Linked DNA regions of Notamacropus eugenii. Each later gene encodes a partner of the first gene's protein in a complex. Links are inferred from orthologs where the notes say so. Each region holds a gene or a part of one and is shown on either strand. Other genes may lie near its edges.

Evidence for each region. The genes of interacting proteins can lie anywhere in the genome.
Region 2: TXNL4A (region 1) and LSM6 share a complex: the UniProt entries of both Homo sapiens proteins name them as parts of the precatalytic spliceosome. The link is inferred for Notamacropus eugenii from reciprocal best matches to the Homo sapiens genes TXNL4A and LSM6.
Region 3: TXNL4A (region 1) and PPIH share a complex: the UniProt entries of both Homo sapiens proteins name them as parts of the U4/U6-U5 tri-snRNP complex. The link is inferred for Notamacropus eugenii from reciprocal best matches to the Homo sapiens genes TXNL4A and PPIH.

The regions. Positions count from the first base shown.
Region 1 is NC_092875.1:200,534,432-200,538,522, reverse strand, and holds the start of TXNL4A (thioredoxin-like protein 4A), read right to left. Parts: upstream 3,034-4,091; 5' UTR 2,796-3,033; intron 2,651-2,795; exon of another isoform or gene 2,175-2,650; intron 1,622-2,174; 5' UTR 1,601-1,621; coding exon 1,448-1,600; intron 1,347-1,447; exon of another isoform or gene 1,306-1,346; coding exon of another isoform or gene 1,282-1,305; intron 1-1,281. UniProt on the Homo sapiens protein: Plays a role in pre-mRNA splicing as component of the U5 snRNP and U4/U6-U5 tri-snRNP complexes that are involved in spliceosome assembly, and as component of the precatalytic spliceosome (spliceosome B complex).
Region 2 is NC_092877.1:143,189,022-143,193,112, reverse strand, and holds the start of LSM6 (U6 snRNA-associated Sm-like protein LSm6), read right to left. Parts: upstream 3,032-4,091; 5' UTR 2,908-3,031; intron 2,102-2,907; exon of another isoform or gene 1,872-2,101; intron 1-1,871. UniProt on the Homo sapiens protein: Plays a role in pre-mRNA splicing as component of the U4/U6-U5 tri-snRNP complex that is involved in spliceosome assembly, and as component of the precatalytic spliceosome (spliceosome B complex).
Region 3 is NC_092876.1:74,540,806-74,544,896, forward strand, and holds the start of PPIH (peptidyl-prolyl cis-trans isomerase H), read right to left. Parts: upstream 2,979-4,091; 5' UTR 2,851-2,978; coding exon 2,785-2,850; intron 2,332-2,784; coding exon 2,267-2,331; intron 549-2,266; coding exon 525-548; intron 232-524; coding exon 187-231; intron 101-186; coding exon 58-100; intron 1-57. UniProt on the Homo sapiens protein: PPIase that catalyzes the cis-trans isomerization of proline imidic peptide bonds in oligopeptides and may therefore assist protein folding. Participates in pre-mRNA splicing.

The sequences.
Region 1 (4,091 bases):
GGCCTGGCACTCTATGCACTGTGCCACCTAGCAGCAGCCACCCTGCATATATATATATACATATATACACAAACAAATACACACATATATATGCATGCATGTATGTATGGAGATATATATACGTATATATATCTACATCTATTTACAGTTATATATATTTGTGTTAGTGTTTCTTATTAACACTATGGAAGACTTGAAAGAAAAACCATGTTTACAAAAGTGAGATATGACATTAGTCAATTTCATCTCAATAATTTATCATCATCATTATAACAACATCTGCAAACACAACTTCTTGACACTAAATGATTATTCCTACCACAGCCTCCAGAAATCTGTGCCAAAAGTTTACCACCCAACAACACAGTGATATCCCAGATTAATATTATTGCTGTCGGCAAAACAGAACACTGAGAAACAGTACTCTGGTTTAGACAACACAAGTCTAAGGTTTTATTTTCAAATGGAGGAAAATATCAATTCAGAGGAAAATATCAATTAGCTCATACATGAATACCAAAGAGCACAAAACAATATTAAAGACACTAATTTCAAGATTATAGCATGCTCTATGTAGGTGCATTTAACACATGTCTCAGAAAATTTAAAATATAGGTACTAAAAACCAAATTTAAGCATATATAGAGTAGAGCTTCTAGGATACTGAAGGAGAATTTCGCCTCTAAAAATAAGGCATAACACTCCTGGAATATCCACTGAAAATTTAGACTGGCTATTTTAGGCTAATGTTTTCTTCTAAGTCAAATTAACTAATTTTCACAACTGTAGCTGTTAACAGTCACAAAAATAGGCTAATGCTGAAAGTAGCAAAAAGCAGAAGGCAGTAAGACCCTTAAATCAAGAAAGCATGAATCAAAAACACTCACTGATTATTCTCTGTGCAGGAAGCCTGTGCTACAGATGCTTTTTTATTTACCATTTATTATCATTCTGATTCATTTCAATCTTGAATGATGGGGTAAGTAAATCTTGAAAAATCTTGAAAAATACCTTAAGTATCTAACCTTATGTATTGGTATACTAAGAAGCAAATCAATTCAAAATTTTGGATGAAAATATGAAATGTGGCTTTTAATCCTAAATCATATACATAATTCATTTCCTCAGTTCAAGGCAAAAAAGAGTATAACCTAATTAATGATTTCAATTACAAGTCATAGCAGTGTGCAAGAATGGAAAGAGAACAGAGAATTAGGAGTTCTAGGTTCAAGTCCTGCCTCCATCCCCATATAGCCATATGACCCTTTATAGTCACTTTACCTCTCTGGGTCTCCATTTTTTCATCTGTAATATGAAGATAATACTTGTTCTGCCTATTTCATGGGCTGTTAGGAGGATCAAAGGAGAAAAAGGACATCAAAGGGCTTTGTAAACAAACAAACATGAGGGATCATGGCATTAAAAGTACTACTCAAATAAGGTTTACCTTTTCTGCAATACTATATAAAACTTCATCCATTTTCATACAAGTAGGGTCCCAATCATGTCCAAACCTAATAACAACAACTCGGTCCTCTTCTGAAAGAATCGCTTGATCCACCTGCCAACCATTGTGCAAATGTGGAAGCATGTACGACATCCTGAACAGTCAGTCTGAGTCCTGTGGAGGAGAATTCACTTATCAGAAAGCATGCTTTCTTATCGTGCATCCCATTGCTTCTAACATTAAGAAATAATCCTGGCAACGGCAGACGATTAACACTTCAACACAGACTAGGGAGAATCGAAACACTCCCCAAGGCCCCTCACCGTCCCAACCGCGCCTACAACTCTACCGCTACAAGCTATACTCCTCCACACGCCAAGGAAGACCCTCCTCCTCCTCCTTCCACTCGAGGCCCACAGTCTAAGAAGCCCCTACAGAAGACTAAAAGGCAAACCAACTCAACATTTTGGGTCTTCATGGAAGACGCTGGCTTTTAATACCAGGTCATCCACTTTCCTCATTTCCTTAATTCAAGGGAAAACATAAACGTTTAAGAATCGAATTAAGGAGCTCAATGATGGGTGGCAGCAGCGTACAGTAACGGGGAAAGCAAGGGAAAACGAGGGGCTGCGAGTCCCACTCTGGCCCGCGCCCCTCCGTGTCCGCGGGGTCCTGCACAAGTCGTTTTACTTCTCTGCACTCAAGGCCTTGGCAGCCTCGGACTGACCTCCGGGGGGTCGCTAATTCATTCACACCACGGGGGAGGTCGCTCCCACTGCAGCTTTTCTGAGTCTGCCCTGCTGTCTAAGGGGGGCCGCGGCCGTGCACCCCGGCGCTAAGGACAAGGGCTGCGGCGGCATCCGTCACCGACCTCGGCCACGCGAGACCTCAGGGGCCGGCGGCGGACAACACGCTCCCGTCCGGGCCGCCAAACCGAGGCCGCGCGTGCCCAGAGGGCTACACCGGAGCCGAGCCTCGGAGAGCGAGGCGAAGCGAGAGAAGAAAAGGGCTCACAGCCGCAGCGGGGCCGGGTCCTGACGAAAGGAGGTGACGCACAAACCTGCCGGCAAAGAGAGAAGATCCAGCTCCGGGAACCGCCGGTGGAACCGCTGGCCCGACGTCTTCTCCGCCCCTAACGCGTCACACGTATGTGCGTAAGAGCGCAGAGCGTGCGCGCCCCCGGCCCAGTTGGGGGAACGCGCTCCCTGTAGGGCGCGCGCGCGCGTGCTTAGACCCGGGCGGATCGCTCTGCAGCTCCATCTCCAGCCTTATCTGAGCTAGCGTGGTTGCGCCGGTTCCTATCTATCCAAAGGGACAGAATGATGGATCAAATCCTCTAGGAGCTTACCTTTCATTAACGCTGTAAGGTTTGCAGAGCACTTCCCCCCCATATCAATCACGTCCCCCGCTGAATGAACAAGCGCCTACTTTGTGACCCTGCGCCAAGGACTGGGACGGTAGATCAGCAGTCCTTCAGGAGCTCCATTTCTACAGGGCAAGTCAGCGGTCAGATGCCTCTACACACGCCTTAGGTGCAGTGTAAAAGGAAGCAACCTCAGGGGGAAGGCCCTGCCAGCCGGAAAGAGAGAGGTGACCTCTGAGAATCCGAGGGGGCGCAAGCGAGGAGCGAGACCCCGGATCGATCAGAGCGCTACCTCCAGCGTCTTAGTGATCTTCTCAGCAACCGTGGTCCAACAGTGAGGCCCATAATGAAAGTATCACCCTCATTTTACAGAGGAGAACGTTTGGGGGTAGGTCAGCGGAGCAAGACGCGAATGACTGTCACTGACATGTAGAAAGAAGAGCTGGGTGAGGAGTGTGGGAAACAAATCAGGAGACTGGCGTAGGGAAGGGATGAGGACCGCGACAGGGGACTTCACTTATCCAGACATCCAGTTAATCAATAACCATTTACTAAGTGCCTACTGTGTGCCCAGCACTGTGCTAGGTGCAAAGGATAAAGCAAAAAGCAAAAGACAGTCCCTACCCTCAAAGAGCTCGAAGTCTGATGGGGAAGACAACATGCAAATACATACAAGCTATATACAGAATGAATAGGAGGTAATTATAGGAAAGGCTTCCTGTGAAAGGTGTGGTTTTGGTTGTAACTGGAAGGAAGCCGGGAAGCCAAAAGATAGAGAGAAGAGGAGGTAGAGCATTCCAGCGCACAGAGACAGCCAGAGAAAATGCCCAGCTGAAAAACTGAGCATCTTCTTTGTAGGAGAGCAAAAAGATCGGTGTCGTTGGGTCAAAGTGATGTGGGAGTCGGAGGGTGTTAAGTGTAAGAACTAAGTAAGAAGACTGGAAGGTAGATGGGGAGGTCTGTGTTTTGAACAGCTTTGAATGCCAAACCAAGGATTTTATATTTCATGAGGGAAGTGGGATGAGACACTGTTGTTCATTGAGTGCATGGGTGACATGGTTGGACAGTTCCACTGGTTAGAACTTTCTCTCTCTCTCTCCCTCCCTCCTTCCTTCCCTCCCTCCCTCCCTCCCTCTCTTTCTCTCTCTGTCTGTCTCTCTCTGTCTTTCTCTGTCTCTCTGTCTCTCGATGACAAAAGCAGAGCAGCTAAAGATCGCTTGTTTTTGCTTAGTGGTAATTTCTTCCTTCTAAAGGTAAAGAAACCAACGGGGAGAAATTCTA
Region 2 (4,091 bases), on another chromosome or scaffold:
CGTTCTCTTTTTGTTTTTTCCTTCTTTCTCATGGTTTCTTCTTTTGGTTCTAACTCTTCCTTACAACATGAATAATGTGAAAATGTTTAATATGAAATGTATATGTATAGCCTATATCAGACTGCATGCTGTCTTGGGGTAGAGGAGAGGGAGGGGGAGAAAATTTAGAACTCAAAATCTTATGGAAGTGAATACTGAAAACTAAAAGTGAATGAATGAAGAGAGGAAGAAATGAGGGTCCTGAAACAGATGTCCTCCAAGGTCCTTTCAGCTTTGTGTAAAAGATAGCTAGGTGCTAGATTTAGGAGTCGAAAACAGATGGGTTCAAATTCTACCTCTGATAATAGCTTTGTGATCATGACCAAGTGACAAAATCACTTTTAGCCCCAGTTTCCTTAGCTGCAAAATGGAAATAATAGTATTTGCAGAGACAGGATGATGGAGTAAGTGCATAGAGAGTTGGCTTCAGAGTCATGGAGATAAGGATTGTTGCCAGCCTTCTGTAGTGGCTGTGTAACACTGGACAAATCACTTAACCTGAGTCCTCAGACAAAAAAAAACTACAGAGCATGCCAGTTCTGCAAGGTTGAGGAAGTCTCTTTACTCTGGGTTCCCTTTACCAAGAAATCATAGAACCGGTTAAAAAAAAACAACCCCCCCAAATTTTGTAGAAATAATAAGGCCTAACAAGGTGACTGACTAAATAAGATGCTATGTGTAAAACCTTTGAAAATCTATATGAAAATCAACTTAAAAAAAAAATTTGTGACTTGAAATTTCTTTGATATAGACAAGTAATTCCCTGTGAGAAACGTCCTCTCTACCAATGCTGATGAGTAATCTAGGAAATTAAGTGACTTGGCCAGGGATACACCAAAACTTGGATACCAGTTTTCCTGAGGATGGCTCTCTATCCACTCTCCTACCATAAAATGCAGTCTCTACTACAATCATCAAAAATATTATCACATCCTATAATGTTTGACTAGTTAAGGTTAGGTCTGAATTCTACTATTCCTTTTTCTTCACCTCAAATGTGATGTAGGTTTGAGTAATGCACTTTAACTACTAACAAAATCCAAGTGTTGTAATTTTCCAAAGAGATCTTAAAAATCTTTATGTTAAGTACTAATTTCAGACAAGGGAATATTTAAATCTTGAAAGGGATTCCACACCAAATCAGTCTCTCTAGATTTTCAGTTCCAGTCAACAATATCTGTTTCATTAAACTTTTTGTATCTGTGGTCCTTTGGATGGCTAAACACACAGGAAAGCGGGCTGGATCTGAGTCAAAATACTAATAATATACAATGTAACAAATATGTTACAGGTATAACGCACTGACGTCCAAGAGCATTTAGAGTTGTATTAATGCACTGTGTTGGTAATATGAGCCATTCTCCAATGTTAGGAAAAGTGCTTCACAAACCTTCAGTGATGGTACAGTGCTAGCTATTATTCCCATTCTCCTTCTGGTCCCCACAAACTCTCTCTTGTCACTAAGGATCACTGTCCAAACCCACATGCAGAATGACTGCACGCCAACCACCTGTATCGTACACACACATTCCGCTCTCCGGGTCTCCCCAGGGGGTGGGGAAATCACTTCGCTTCTGATGATGCACTTGGAAGACTCCTAACGGTTCTGTAACTAACAGTTCAGACAAACAGAGGAGCTCACCAAACAGTCCCTGGAGAACACCCCCAAAGCGCGATCCTCACAAACGCCCAACCCCAAGCTCCCCCAGACAAGGAGTGGCCACAGATCCGTAATAAAAACTTAACTCCAGGCCTTTCAATAGAAACTAGGACCCAAAACCACCTCCAGAATTGGACCAGAACAGAAAAGCCAGACCACACCCCTTACCCACCTAAAGAAGTGGGCTCGAATCAAGGAACCAGAACTGCCGGCCGGGACCCCGCCGACGGAGGCGGGGCAGCTCACGGGGACCAAGGGGGCAGCTTTCTGGGCCGAAAGCGTGCTCCAGCACAGCCGCGCCGGGGCCGGCACCGGGGGGGCAGGCACCCAGGGGGGGCAGCTACGAGAGGAGCAGGCACCTGGGGGGCAGCTCCGAGGGGGGCCGCCCCGAGTCACGTCGGCCCCCCATCTCCTAGGCCTCCCCAAGGGCTGGGTGGGGGTCACTGGCTCCGTTCGACTCTAACCCGATCCCCGGACCTACTGACGCGGAGGGAAGGGCGTCCCCGAGGGACGGTTCTCATCCCAAACGGAACACGCTGCGGCCTGTCCCGGGTGGACGCGGCCTGTCCAGGAGGATCCGGGCGCTAGCCGGGCCTCTGGCTCGGGGGGGGGGGGGGGGTGTCTTCAGGAGCCCACCATGTTCCCTGCTTCGTGACAGGAGGGAGACGGGCGGGGCAAAGGGGGCTTAGCTTCGTGGGGTCCCTTCTCGGAATGACCGTGACGTCAGAAAGTCAAACGTCTACGATTTCGAAGGAAATCCTAAAAACGGCCACAGTTAGCAAAAGTGACATTTTTTTCCAAAACGAGCTCAGGAGCCCCGGGGAGCAGCTTTCGACTCCGAACCCGAGCCCCCCGGGACCGCGTCGGCCTGGCCGGCCGGGCCTCGGCTCCCAGCTCGCCCGTTCCGGCTCCGGGGCCGGCCTGCGGCCTTCCTTCCCACGCCGGGGCTGACAAGGCCTCCGGCCGCCCCACGGGGTCGCTTTTCACAGACTGCCGGGGGTCACGGGGGGTGCATTGGACTTTGGGAGGAGGGGTCCGCCGACTCGGAGGACCCAGGAGCGCCCAGCCGGGAGGCCCCGAGAGGCCCCCGGAAACGTTCGGGTCACCCCGGAGAGTTCTCCCCGGAAGGCGCCGCCGCCCCCTGCCCCATGGGTCCCTCAGACCTCGCGGGCAAAGCCCAGCACGCTCCCGGCCCCGCCGCAGCTCACCTCTAAGCTCCTCCGGCCGACGCCAGCCGCGGCCTCGCCTCCGCCTCCCGCCAAGAGCGCGCGCGCTCCCGCTCCGGAGCGGCCTGGGAGCGCGCGCCTCCGCCGGACCAATCGCGGCGCTCCCGGGCTACGGTCAGCCCGCAGGGACAAAATACTGCGGTCTGAGTGTACCTAGTGCTCTTCGGGAGAGCTTGACTCCCGCTCCTCCCCCCGCTGTTGTAACTGTGGTGGAGCGGCCAGGGGCGGGGCGAAGGCCTGAGGGGCGTGGCCAGAGCGACGAGGGCGTGGCCAAGACCAGCTAGGGGCGGGTTTAAGGTAGGGGAGAGTGCCTGTGAAACACCTAAGTGCAGCTCAGAGGACCCAGAGGGCAGAGGCTGTGGGTGTGGATAATCACGGATTTAGAGTCCTTTGGGATAATAAAACCGTGCGAGAGTTGGAAGTTACTGGGCCAGGGGGAGGGGGGCGGGGTTAAGGCAGCATTCAGTCTCAAGTTTTATCCGCTCACTCACCTAAGATGCCTAGCCCAGAAGGCAGTTGAGGGAGAGGAGGAGGGAGAAGCAAGGGGGGGAGGAGGGAGAAGCAAGGGAGAGGTCAGAGGAGGGAGAAGGAGGGGATACAGAAAGAGGAGATAAAAGAAAGGGGGATAGAGAAAAAAGACTGAAGAATGAAAAGGTAGAAGAAGGGGTAAATACATAGAGGGGAGAAAGAAGGAAAAGGAACCAAGGAGAAAAAATGGAGAAAAAGCGAAAAGCATGGAATGCATGCATAGGGTGCCCACCCACCCACATTGTAATGGTGTCTGTTCTCTCCTGTCTCTGGACTGACACCCTGCAACCTTTACACTAAGTTCTCAGAGAAGAACCACGAAGATGTTGGTTGGTTACATGGACAAGGTTTGGGGTTGCTGGGAATCCCGACATTTCAAGGTTCAGAGTGGTATCTGCCTGGAAAGAATTCATGCATTCAAACCTTCTTCCAGTCAGGTGACAAGGTTTATTGTAACACCAATAGGAGTGGGGGAGATTCTTAGGGAATCTGTACTTTCATGGGGGTGAGATTTACGCTTATATACAAAAAAAAAAAAAGGGACAATGAAAAGATATGGACGCGATTAAGGAGGGGCAAATAGCTTGGGGTGGGCCAGGTGCAATAGTGACAGGAATAAAGTAGTCTGGGATGAGTCC
Region 3 (4,091 bases), on another chromosome or scaffold:
GGGGGTAAAGCAAAACTCTGGCAAAGCTGGAACAAGACAAACTTACACAGTACCTACATTTACAAAGTCTCCTCCTTGGATCATGAAATCTTTTATAACCCTAAAAACAGGACAGACAAAGATATCAGAAAGGAGAAAGTGACTCATGACACACAGGAAGGTGTCCCTGGAAGCCCCAAACCTTACCTGTGAAAAGTGCTTCCCTTGTATCCGATAGGGACTCCATCTTTCCTACAACCAAGGAGAAAGATGAGAAATGGAGGGACCACAGGCAATCCCAGGCCCCTCTGTAAAGCACCCCTGAGGTGGAGAAAGACCCCTCCCCAAATTGCCTCTGGAGAAGTAGGAAGATAGGGTGATTGACTAAAAGAGAAGAGTGACAGAGAAGAAGTGCGCCTGCATCCCTGATCCCAGCAGCTTCCCTAGGCCTTGATGGAAGCTTCCCAAGGGTACTGACTCCAGCTTTGGGCAGGTGGCTCCCACCCAAGCCATGCCTAAGGGAAATAAGCAATTTCTAGACTAACCTGAATTCTCCTGTGCAGAACTGCCTGAAAGAAAGAAAAATATTATCTGCCAAACCATACATACTGAGAAATGATAGAAAAGAGAAACCTTGACCTAGGGGTTGGGTAAGGGAGATACCCCAGCCATCTGTAAACAGAGGTTCCCACATGCTCATACACATACAGGGAAGTGTGTGTGCGTCTGTGTGTGTGTGCACGCGCGCACGTACAACCTGACACTGTTTACAGGCCACCATATACACAGAGATGACAGAAACAAAATAATCACAAACATTAGAGACAGGTACACAACAATAGGGATTCTGCTCTTCCCTCCCTACCCCCAGATACTGGGAACAGTAAGACAGGCAGACAAGCAGACAGATGATCTCCCCCACCTCAAGAACAAAACAAAACAAAAAACACCACCTTCGAGGAAAATGGAAAGAAGTAGGAGTGAAGGGTGTTTGGTATAAAGTGGTCTCAAGTTATGTTACACAAAGCAGTGTAACCATCAAAACTACGTGGTGCTAAAAAATATAAAAAATTAGAATGATGAATAATCTTAGCTAGCAAAACCTAGAATCAGATCAGCACAGCATCCAATGTTTGACAAGCCCAAGGTACACAAATTACTGGACTCTTTATTTGATAGGAAACACTGAGAAAACAGGATAGCAGTCTGGTAGGAAAGATCATTGGTTCTCAAGTCAGAAGACCTGTGTTCAAATTCTGTCTCAGACACTTATTACCAAAGGCACAAAACCTCCGTGGAGATAAGGCACATCTGCAAAATGAGGGGGTGGGAACATATGGTCCCAGAAGTTTCTTTCAAGTCAAAAACATGATTCTAAAAAACAATCTAAATATAAAATGTTGCCCCAAAAAAGAAATTAGAGGGCCATGGAAGGTCATCTTCCACAATGTGGATTAAAGAATCAATCTTTAATCAACCAGCTGCAATAAAACAAGACATACAATTTCAACTATAAAATTAAAAATATAAAACTATATATATTTTATTTTTATTTTATATAAGACAAATATAAAATTATATTAAAATACTATATTTTTTTATATTTATATAAAATAAAACATACAATTTCAACTATAAAACAAAAATAATGCAACTAGAAAAAAAGGAAAAGATATGAATGAGAAAAATATTTTCATTAAACCTATCTTATGAGAATCTAACATCCAAAATCTATAGAGAATTACTGCAAACCTCCTAATATTAAGTCATCAAGACTCTGGAATCATAATCTTAAGGGAAATCTCTAAGATTATGAAGTCACATACCTATGACTCCAAGAGACTTGCGATCATGGGATAAAAATAAGTAGATGGAAAGATAGCACTGATTAAATGCTTACTATGTGCCAGTTTTCAAAGATATATGTCATCAACACATCATCTGAAAAACTGCCCCAAATTACTAAGGATCAAAAGAATGCAGAGGAAGACAAAAGAGAGACGGATAACAATGGGCAAATATGGAAAAATATAAGGATGGAATAAAACCGTGAGTTGACCCAACTTATTTGGAATTATGCAAGAAAGGCTGTTACCCTTTGACCCAGAAACCCCACTACTGGGCTTATGCTCTAAAGTAGGATACGGGCAAAACAAATCAGACTGTAGGGAAGAAAGATGCTACAGACGGACGGACGGACGCTGGCACAGACACGTGGGCTAAGTCTCCTTCCCTCCCCCACCTCCCCACGCCCTCGGGGACGGGGGTGGGGGGGCAATTCCCGGACCTGAAATTCTCCGCGGTCTTGGGCACGATGTCCGCAAAGAGTTCAATCTTCATTCGGCCAACTTCCTGCAGGGCGGGGCAGTGCCAGGGCGTGTCGGTGACGTCATCTCATCATGTCCCTCCCGTTATTCCCCGTCCCATGGTCCCCCCACCTCCATATTTGGTTCTGCCAATGCATTCTGCCCAGGCTCCAGGGTCTAGGTCCCGGTCAGTCTGACCCATCCTGGATTCTGACCCTTCTCTTTGTTCCTTGTCCCGCTCGCTACCCCCCATTTCCGAGCCGTTTGGTCCCGCCCGCTCTCCCCCCATCCTAGAGTCTTTTGGTCCAGCCCATGGTCCCGCCCATTCCCCCCCATCTTCCGGACACATGGATCCCGCCCACTTTTCAGACTTCACCCCCTTCGCCATGTGGTTCGCGGGGTTCCACTGCTCCCCCCGTGCTCCCGGAGCAGCGGGCAGCAGTCGCCTTCAGCCCTTTCCCCAGTCATCCTGCACTGCCTGGATCCATGCCCGTCCCACCTGGCCACCGATGCTAACGTCGAAGAAGACGATGGGGTTGACGGGGCTTGAATTTGCCACGGCCATGATCCTGACACGGAAGCGGAAGCCGGCCGGCGGGGCTCCCGAGGTCGCTGAGTCGGTCCGGCAGCGGCGCAGACGTGCTGGAGCCTGAACGCCGGGCTCCGCCCCCTAGGCCGAGGTCGGGCTGGGCCTGGCGTCTGCGGGAAGGGGCGGAGCTACGGAGGCCCGGTGGGCCAGTGGCCACGGGGACCCAGGAGCTAGGACAGCCAAACGCTGTACACGTGTCTCCCATTTCCTTTGTGATGGTCCGAACCGCTACTGCCATCTTGGTTTTTTCCTCCGTCCCACCCTCACACATATGCTTTCTCAAACCTTAAAATAAACTCATAAAACATTTATTACCAGACCACTGTGTGCAGTGCACACGACCACCCCTTAAAATGAAGCCCCTGGCATGTGCCTGCGGCTGTGGGCGGCGGCACTGGAGGTTTGCCGGCGTCTCCTGTTTGGAGGCCATTGAAATAACAACAGAGATGCTGAGTTTGGTTGTGTATCACGTGGGTAGGTGCATTAGAGGGGCCTGGAGCCACAGTTCTTACCAGGATCCGGGGACCCTGTGTACAAGAGGCTTACAACCCCCGTTTTGCTCTCATATGATCTCTTGGTAACCTCATTTCACATTTCAGTTATGTATGCAGATGATCCACAGTTCTATACTGAAGAAGCATGCTATGTATCTTAAGATCTATCACATATATTGACGGGGGATGTCTCAATGTATAGATAAGGAGAGACAGGACCATGGATAGCTCTGGGATCTTGCATATATGCCTCTTCAAGAGAGACCATTCCTTTCTCTTAGAGGAGAGCAAGAGAAGGGGCCAGGAAGTTGGCTGCATTGTTCTTCCCTGAGACAGAGGCAATTAATAAATGCATATTGACTGACTGAGAGATACTGCAATAGAATTTATCTATATGTCCCACTAAATATTATTGGTCTGGAGCCCTATTTTTTAGGCTCCAAAGTATGAGACAGCGAAAGTTAAGTTTTCACAATAAGTTATTGTTAATTGATGAAGTCATTGAGAATAAGTTAGATAATAAGAAGGCCAGCGGACTGCAGGTGGACTCAGCCAATGAAAAGACCAACAGTGGCCTTCAGAAAATTACAAAGTTTTTGACAATGGAACCAAATCTACAGCTAGCTGGAACTAACCAAGAAAAATCACCTAGAGTTACCTGGAGAAGCCTTTTCTTCAATGTACTTGCTTAATGAACTTCATGCATATAAGCAGACACACCCC